2 linked regions of the Oryzias latipes genome follow. Each later gene encodes a partner of the first gene's protein in a complex. Links are inferred from orthologs where the notes say so. Each region holds a gene or a part of one and is shown in the gene's direction. Other genes may lie near its edges.

Region 1 (4,100 bases):
GCAGAGGGCTACTTATGTAATTCAATAATTTATACCAACATAAAAGTGATTACTTGACAATGATATTTCAATTTCGATCTCTTCAAATACATATATATATATATATATTTATATATATATATATTACAATGAATACAAATAGAAAAGTTGAACAAAGGAAAAACTTTTTTTTCTTTTTGTTAGTGTAAAATTTGGTTTACAAAAGTAGAAAATTAATAATATTTTCTAACATACTTTTCTTATCCTGTGGCAAAGATAGTCCATTGGAGTCTATACTTTAAGTTTACTTTTTATACACTATATATTGAAGACATAAAATGTAATAATTTATTCTGAGAAGTATTCTGTTAGTATACTTCCTGTACTGCATGTACATGGAGTATAGTAGGCGTACATTTGCTGTAATTATACTTAGGTATACTTAAGAAGTAAACTTTAGGTGTACAAGTGTACTACTTTTTTGCCAAAAAGTTGTCAGGAGTGGTTATAATCTTTTGGGATTTCAGTTTTATCTCACTAACAAAAAACAGTGTGAATGTGTTTGACAAGGAAATGCTGCACTAACAAAGAAACTAATAAAACACTTAAAAAGGTTTTGTCTCAATTGAAACTTTGAAGTCTTTTTATTTTTATTTTGACTGTTTATGCTTTTTTTAAAAAACTTTTATGTATTATTACTTTTGTTGATTCATTTATTGAATTATGTGTTTATTTTTTTTATTTTGTTTATTTTATTATTATTTATTTCATTTTATTATTATTATTATTATTATTTTTTTGTTATTCAACCTCATGGCAACTTCAATAATTTGCACTTGGTGTGAAATTCTGTATGTGCAATGTTTGTCAATAAAGTTATTAAAATTAAAAAAAAATAATCTCCGTCTTTGATTTTTGTTTTTTAACTGATGGTTAAATTGGAATATAAATGCATTTATGAAAATGTATACATTGATAAAAAAAAATGTTCCAAAAATACACATTATTTGTGGGCGTTAAACTTTTTTCCCTTCATATTTAACCGCTTTTACGTAGCTTTCTGGTTCCTTTACGCCGTAGACCATGTGACCAAAGAGTGCGGCTTGTTTATTATTCCGTTATACGCCGGAAGACGAGGAACTCATTTCTCCAATTACACCAGTTCGCAATAAAATCATTGGATTAAATACAATAAACATAGCGGTCTACCTTCACCAGTGCCATATATCAGGACTGACTTTAATTACTGCTAAATTCAAGAAAAGGGAAAATAATAAATTGCTTCTGCTCTGAACGGTACGGTGTGTCTCGAGCACAAAAACGAACGCCCGCAACACAACGCGGGAAACGCCGTTGTGTTGTTTTCCACCGCGGAGCAACCACCGGGCTAATCCTCAATTTAGGGGTTAGTGTTACTACCTGACAGATGTTCACCTGTCCGTTTTTGTGTGCCGCTCTCTGACCGGAGAGAGTTTGTCCTCGAACGGGACCCCTTGGTTTGGTTGTAGCCTGGACCGCATGACGAAACCCGGAGAAGCGGGTAATTGTAGGTCGGTCCCCGCGCTGCTTAATGCTTGTAGCCTCCGAGAAGACGTTAGCTCCGAAACAAAGAAAGAGGTCCGGTCCGATTCTGGTGGGAAATGGATACGTTTCAGAAAGTGGAAAAGATCGGAGAAGGGACGTATGGAGTGGTTTACAAAGCTAAAAACAAACTGACCGGAGAAACGGTTGCGCTGAAGAAAATCCGACTGGATACGTAAGTGAAAAGTTCTTCTTCCTGCTGGTTGAAACCTCTGAGAAGCGTTTGTTGTGATTCAGATTATCTCAAATGCTTAATTCCAGTCCCCTCATGAAACAGTTTCATTAATTACAGAAAAGACAAAACATTTTAAATTCACTCTATGTACAAAGACCTAAAAAATAAAAGTAAATAATAATACAAAGTTGAAACAAAACTGACATGTTACAAAATAAAAGCATTCAGCTCTTGTTTGGTTGGTTTCACTGTCAAATTAAACCTACTCAGTTACATTTAAAATCTATTCACCATCTGTTTTATTCATCTCTATTTGCCTTTGGGGGTAATGGAACACTAAACACAATTAGTCAATAAATTGATCAAAAGTGATGATTACAAATTCATGTGCATTTGTCCATAAAGTTTTGGAAAAGCATCATAAACACAACAAATTGCTTTAATTTAAAATGATTCTTAATCAAAATGAATTATTGTGCAATAACTAGGAAAATTGTATTCAATTTATCAATGGGACAAAGGAAGCATTTAACTTCATAAAACAATCTCCGCTGATCCTTAAATTTGTGATTTCTTTAATCCAGAGAAACAGAGGGCGTACCAAGCACAGCGATTCGAGAAATTTCACTTCTTAAAGAACTCAGTCATCCAAATATTGTCAAGTAAGTGTTTAACCATGCAGAAATATGTTTATTTTGTTCAAAAGAATCCCATTTTGTGTGATTTTATGTTTTAAACCAACTTTTTTTTTTTGTCCAGGTTGCAGGATGTGATTCACACAGAAAACAAACTCTATCTGGTTTTTGAGTTCCTCCATCAGGACCTCAAAAAATTCATGGACTCTTCCTCTGTGACTGGCATCCCGCTGGCTTTGGTGAAGGTGAGCGTCCTCTTTAAAGAGAAGATCCTGAAACTGTCCAGACCTGATTCCTTGTTCTTACTGTCTTGTGTTTCTAGAGTTATCTCTTCCAGTTGCTGCAAGGCCTGGCTTTCTGCCACTCTCACAGAGTTCTTCATCGGGACCTGAAGCCCCAAAACCTCCTCATCAACGCCCAGGGTGAGATCAAACTGGCAGACTTCGGTCTGGCGAGAGCTTTTGGAGTGCCGGTCCGCACCTACACTCATGAGGTACAGTGTGCTCCTCCCTTTCTTCATCTGTAACAAGGTACGAATCGATCTGATAACAGCTGATTTTGTTTTTCTAATGTGGTTCAGGGATTTTTAGTGCTGGATAGTGAGAAAATGTTTATTTTAAAGGATAAAATCCCAAAATATGTATTTTCTTAGCTTTGCTCTTTCAAAATCTGATTCAGACCTTTTCTTGTCTTGTATCAGGTTCACATAATAAAACATTAGAGTCGTTCTTGATTCTTTGTGGTATCTTTCAGGTGGTAACACTTTGGTACAGAGCCCCAGAAATCCTCCTCGGCTGCAAATACTACTCCACAGCTGTCGATGTCTGGAGTTTGGGGTGCATCTTCGCTGAAATGGTAACGCGCTCGACCCCAAGACCAACTTCAATAAAGAATTAGGAGCACGCTGATAATAAACTGATGGTCTGTGTTCACAGATCACCAGGAGGGCTTTGTTTCCCGGAGACTCTGAGATCGATCAGTTATTCAGGATCTTTCGCACGCTGGGCACACCTGACGAAACGGCGTGGCCCGGAGTCACATCCATGCCCGACTACAAGCCCTCCTTCCCCAAATGGGCTCGTCAGGATTTATCCAAAGTGGTTCCGCTTCTAGACGAAGATGGAAGAGAGTTGCTCGGAGTGAGATTTTCTTCTGATTGCTACATGTTTTACTCTTTTCCTGTTAAATATCTGCAAACGCGTTAATTAAGAGTAATTGTTTTTATGTGTAGAGTTTAGAAAGGATGACAAATTCTCTTATGCAAATTATAACTTTTTCTGTCTACTGAAAAAAAAAAAACAATATTTTAAACGCAGCTCAGAAATATTGACTTGAAAAAACCTTTTCAAATTTTTTGTTTGCCTTTCTAGGATGGTGCCCTTTCAGCTTTTTTTCCTACTTTCCATTTTTCTCTAATAATTTATCTTTAAAATAGTTTTTGTGGTAATGCTTGACATTTGTTTTTTAGTACAACCGCGGCTTCTCTCTGTCTCTCTTTTTTTTTAGCAGAATATTTTTAATTATATCCCAATAATTTCACAATGAAACTTTACAAAAACTCAATTTCAGGTTTTAAATTTACTAATTTGTATTACCGGTAACTAAAAAAATTTGAGAACAAACAGTTTTTATGTTTTATTACAACGATCCAAAGGCGTACAAAATAAATGAAAAAATAAATACAAAAGTAAGGTAAAGATGATATTAAAACAGTGCAAAAAACGTGTGAA
Region 2 (3,209 bases), on another chromosome or scaffold:
TTCCTAAAAGACCTTCGGTTGATCTTCTCTGTGCTCTGACCCTCCTCCACCTCCTCCTCCTCCTCAGAGGAGCTTCACAACCAGGGGGTGCAGGATGTGCTTGTTTTCTGCACCAGAGGGGAGCTCAGCAGGTACCGAGTCCCCACCCTGCTGGAGGCGTACGAGCGGCGAGGCCTCACGGTGCAGCACTGGCCCATCCCCGACGGAGAGGCGCCGGAGCTGGAGCAGTGCTGCCGGATCCTGGACGAGCTGCAGCGCCACCTGGAGGGCGGCAGGAAGACGCTGATCCAGTGAGTCTTCGTGCTACAATCGATGAAAACGCTGCGACGTCTGAGTGTGTAGCTCAGCAAAGCTCCACTCAGATCTGTTTCCTGAACGTTTTCTTTAGAAATTCAATTTTCCAAATCTTTTAGGATTTTTGACCCTCAGCTGCTTTTGCTCGTCTTCAGTCCAGACTTATTCTCTCAGACTAATTCCTTCTTTCTCCAATGTTTAGTGTTTTTAAAAAGTATTTTTTATTTGTAGCTAAAGTAGAATTGAACAATGTACAGAAATGAGGCGCAAATTCAGACTTTTCCACAGTTTTCCAGTTTTCTTCATGAATTCTGCCGTTTAAATCCAGTTTTGGCTCCAGATCAGAAACTGGTTTGAACCTCGGATGACCTCAGCCGTTCTTCTGTTCCAGCTGCTTTGGAGGTCTGGGACGATCCGCTCTGAGTGAGAAGCCAAACTTTGTGTTTTGAAGTCCGGACGCCTCCTCCTCCTCCTTCACGCTGTCCTCTCCTCCTCAGTCGCAGCTTGTTTGCTGCTTCAGCTCTCCGTTACCATGACGGCGAGCGACGCCATCAAGCTCCTCAGGGAGCTGCGAGGAAGAGGAGCCATCCAGACCGTGAAGGTGAGGACGCTCCTCTTCTGTCTGCAGGAAACTAAGAAAATGACCTTAAATACATTTATTCATGCAGAAATAAATAAAACAATAAATCGTTTGTGTCCAGCTTTTTACCTAAAGTGAAGCAAAAGATTAATTAGTTTAACCAAAAAAAATGTCAACACTTTTTTGTAGTTTAAAGTTTAGAAACATAAAGAATATGAACATCTAAAGGATTTAGAAATGCGTCAAATCTGACTATTTTAGCTAAAGATGAGGCTTCAAAGCATCAACGGCAGGAACTAAAAGCTGCTTCTTAGTTTAAAAAGTACTACACTTTATTTTATTAAACATACTACTGCAGTCCATCTAATTGTAGGAAGTAGACAAAGTGAATACTCTTTTTAGACTAAATGAGGACATTTTACAATATAATGATAAAAAAGGAGGATTTTATTTTATTTTATTTATCCCACAATGGGAAATTCGTTTCCGCATTTGACCCATCCCTCCACTGGGGGAGCGGTGAGCTGCAGCCGATTATTATTATTCAAGTACACTGCCTCCCGTTTAGTGGACACTAAGTAAACGTGAAATGTAGAGTCGGATATCATCAGCATAGAAGAGAATCAAACTGTTGGAAAAGTCGAAGGTTGTGTCCCAATTCCTTTACCATGTAGCGCCTTCGCCACTTTATAGGGATGTCTGAATCTACAATTCCAAAATGCAGAGCCCTAGAAGTTTCCCAGAAGTCTCTGCGAAAAACCAGTGAGCACTGATGCTCACTAGCCCTTGTGCTATCCTATGGGGTCCAGATGACCCGATCCTTACATTGACATGTTCCCCCTACCATGACAAAGGTGGATAAAGGTGGAAAGATTTCATGTAATCCATGGACACCAGTGAAGATCACAAATCATTGAAGAAAAAAGGTTCAGAGCACTGTCTAGTGGGTCTAGATGACCCAACTCCCAATGTTAAAGTGCTAATGGTCATCTTGACCCCATAGGATAGTACAATGGTTAAAGCTCCAAAAACAAAGATTAGAAAAACCTTTCCTGTCCTGTTCCTTCAGACAACAGCGCCCCCTTGATGCGTCTGATAGAACTTCAGGACTTTTCCAAATGGTTTTCAGTCTTTGATTCTGGGAATGAAGGAATAGAATCCTGATTTTTATTCCTTTTTTTCTTCTGCAGCAGTACAACTTTCTCCACGAGTTTCGAGAGAAGTTGGCGGCGCGCGGGGAGAGCGGAGACGCTTCCACGGAGCGCCCGGTGTCCCGCTGATCCAGGACGTCTCCTGCCATTCCTCACAAGTCCTTTCCTCTCTGAGTTGCACTTTAAATCAAATCCTTTAATATATTTTCTCTTAAAATCAATGATGGAAAAAAGTTTTTTTCCGGTTTCATTTTTCTCGTTTTCTTCTTCTGCAGCTTTCAGCTTAACCGTCTGCTTTCGTCTTTTCTTTCTTCTGCAGGTCAAACACAAAACTCTTTTTTTACATTTGTGTCATTTAACCCTTGTCCTATACTATGACCCCCCCTTCCATTGACGTGTTCTCCCTACCATGACAAAGGTGGATAAAGGTGGAAAGATTTCATGTAATCCATGGACACCAGTGAAGATCACAAATCATTGAAGAAAAAAGGTTCAGAGCACTGTCTAGTGGGTCTAGATGACCCAATGTTAAAGTGCCTAGGATAGCACAAGGGTTACGCCGGTTTTCTGTCTTCATTTCGACTGAAAATGTGAACTTTTTCTCTCAGACGTCGTGTGTTCATGTGTGAAACCCAGACCTCAGAGTGAAAACATGATTAGATTGAAATAAATGTTTTAATGCGACACGGGGAAATGAATCTACATGACAGAAATGACAAACAGTGAAAGTCTGGCCACACCCACAAATGACATCATTGGAGTGTTCGGGGCAGAAACACAATCCTCTAAATTAAAAACTAGGAATAAATAGGAGGAAATGTTTGAAATCCAAAGGTCAAAGTTAAACTCGACCTTTGTCTGCAGACGTAATCCAATAATCTGGAGTCACAGATTACATGATGAGTAAACAAACGTCTCTGTCCACGTGCCCCCCCCCCCGTCAGAAATACCAGCTGAGTCTTCGGCGGCAACGAATCAGCTCGCCGTCCTGATGACGGATGAAAAACTTTATTTAAATCTCAAGCGGATCAAAAACAACCAATAAAAAAGTGTGTGTGTGTGGGGGGGTCCATTCAGATGTCTTCCATGAGCGGTTCTGCAGAACCGTGAGGAGCAGACGTGTCGGTGAAGAGCCAGAATGTTTCAGGGGGTGACGGCCTGCGCCGAGTCCAGGTCATCGCCGA

What was found. The genes of interacting proteins can lie anywhere in the genome.
Region 2: the proteins of cdk2 (region 1) and cdkn3 are in contact, whole or in part, in a crystal structure (PDB 1FQ1), measured with the Homo sapiens proteins. The link is inferred for Oryzias latipes from reciprocal best matches to the Homo sapiens genes CDK2 and CDKN3. Residues at the interface, in NP_001789.2 of Homo sapiens: Tyr15, Glu42, Thr158, Tyr159, Thr160, His161, Val163, Val164, Leu166, Leu174, Gly176, Asp206, Ser207, Glu208, Ile209, Leu212, Asp235, Lys237, Phe240; in NP_005183.2 of Homo sapiens: Phe53, Lys54, Asp55, Arg57, Tyr87, Asp110, Gly111, Tyr141, Gly142, Gly143, Leu144, Gly145, Arg146, Ser147, Arg172, Ser177, Gly178, Ile180, Gln181, Thr182, Ile183, Lys184, Tyr186, Asn187, Glu191.

The regions. Positions count from the first base shown.
Region 1 is NC_019863.2:27,093,792-27,097,891, reverse strand, and holds the start of cdk2 (cyclin-dependent kinase 2), read left to right. Parts: upstream 1-1,300; 5' UTR 1,301-1,619; coding exon 1,620-1,735; intron 1,736-2,319; coding exon 2,320-2,397; intron 2,398-2,494; coding exon 2,495-2,615; intron 2,616-2,692; coding exon 2,693-2,863; intron 2,864-3,123; coding exon 3,124-3,225; intron 3,226-3,305; coding exon 3,306-3,509; intron 3,510-4,100. UniProt on the Homo sapiens protein: Serine/threonine-protein kinase involved in the control of the cell cycle; essential for meiosis, but dispensable for mitosis. Phosphorylates CABLES1, CTNNB1, CDK2AP2, ERCC6, NBN, USP37, p53/TP53, NPM1, CDK7, RB1, BRCA2, MYC, NPAT, EZH2.
Region 2 is NC_019880.2:1,400,493-1,403,701, forward strand, and holds the end of cdkn3 (cyclin-dependent kinase inhibitor 3), read left to right. Parts: intron 1-67; coding exon 68-290; intron 291-685; coding exon 686-717; intron 718-791; coding exon 792-895; intron 896-2,064; coding exon 2,065-2,154; 3' UTR 2,155-2,709; downstream 2,710-3,209. UniProt on the Homo sapiens protein: May play a role in cell cycle regulation. Dual specificity CC phosphatase active toward substrates containing either phosphotyrosine or phosphoserine residues. Dephosphorylates CDK2 at 'Thr-160' in a cyclin-dependent manner.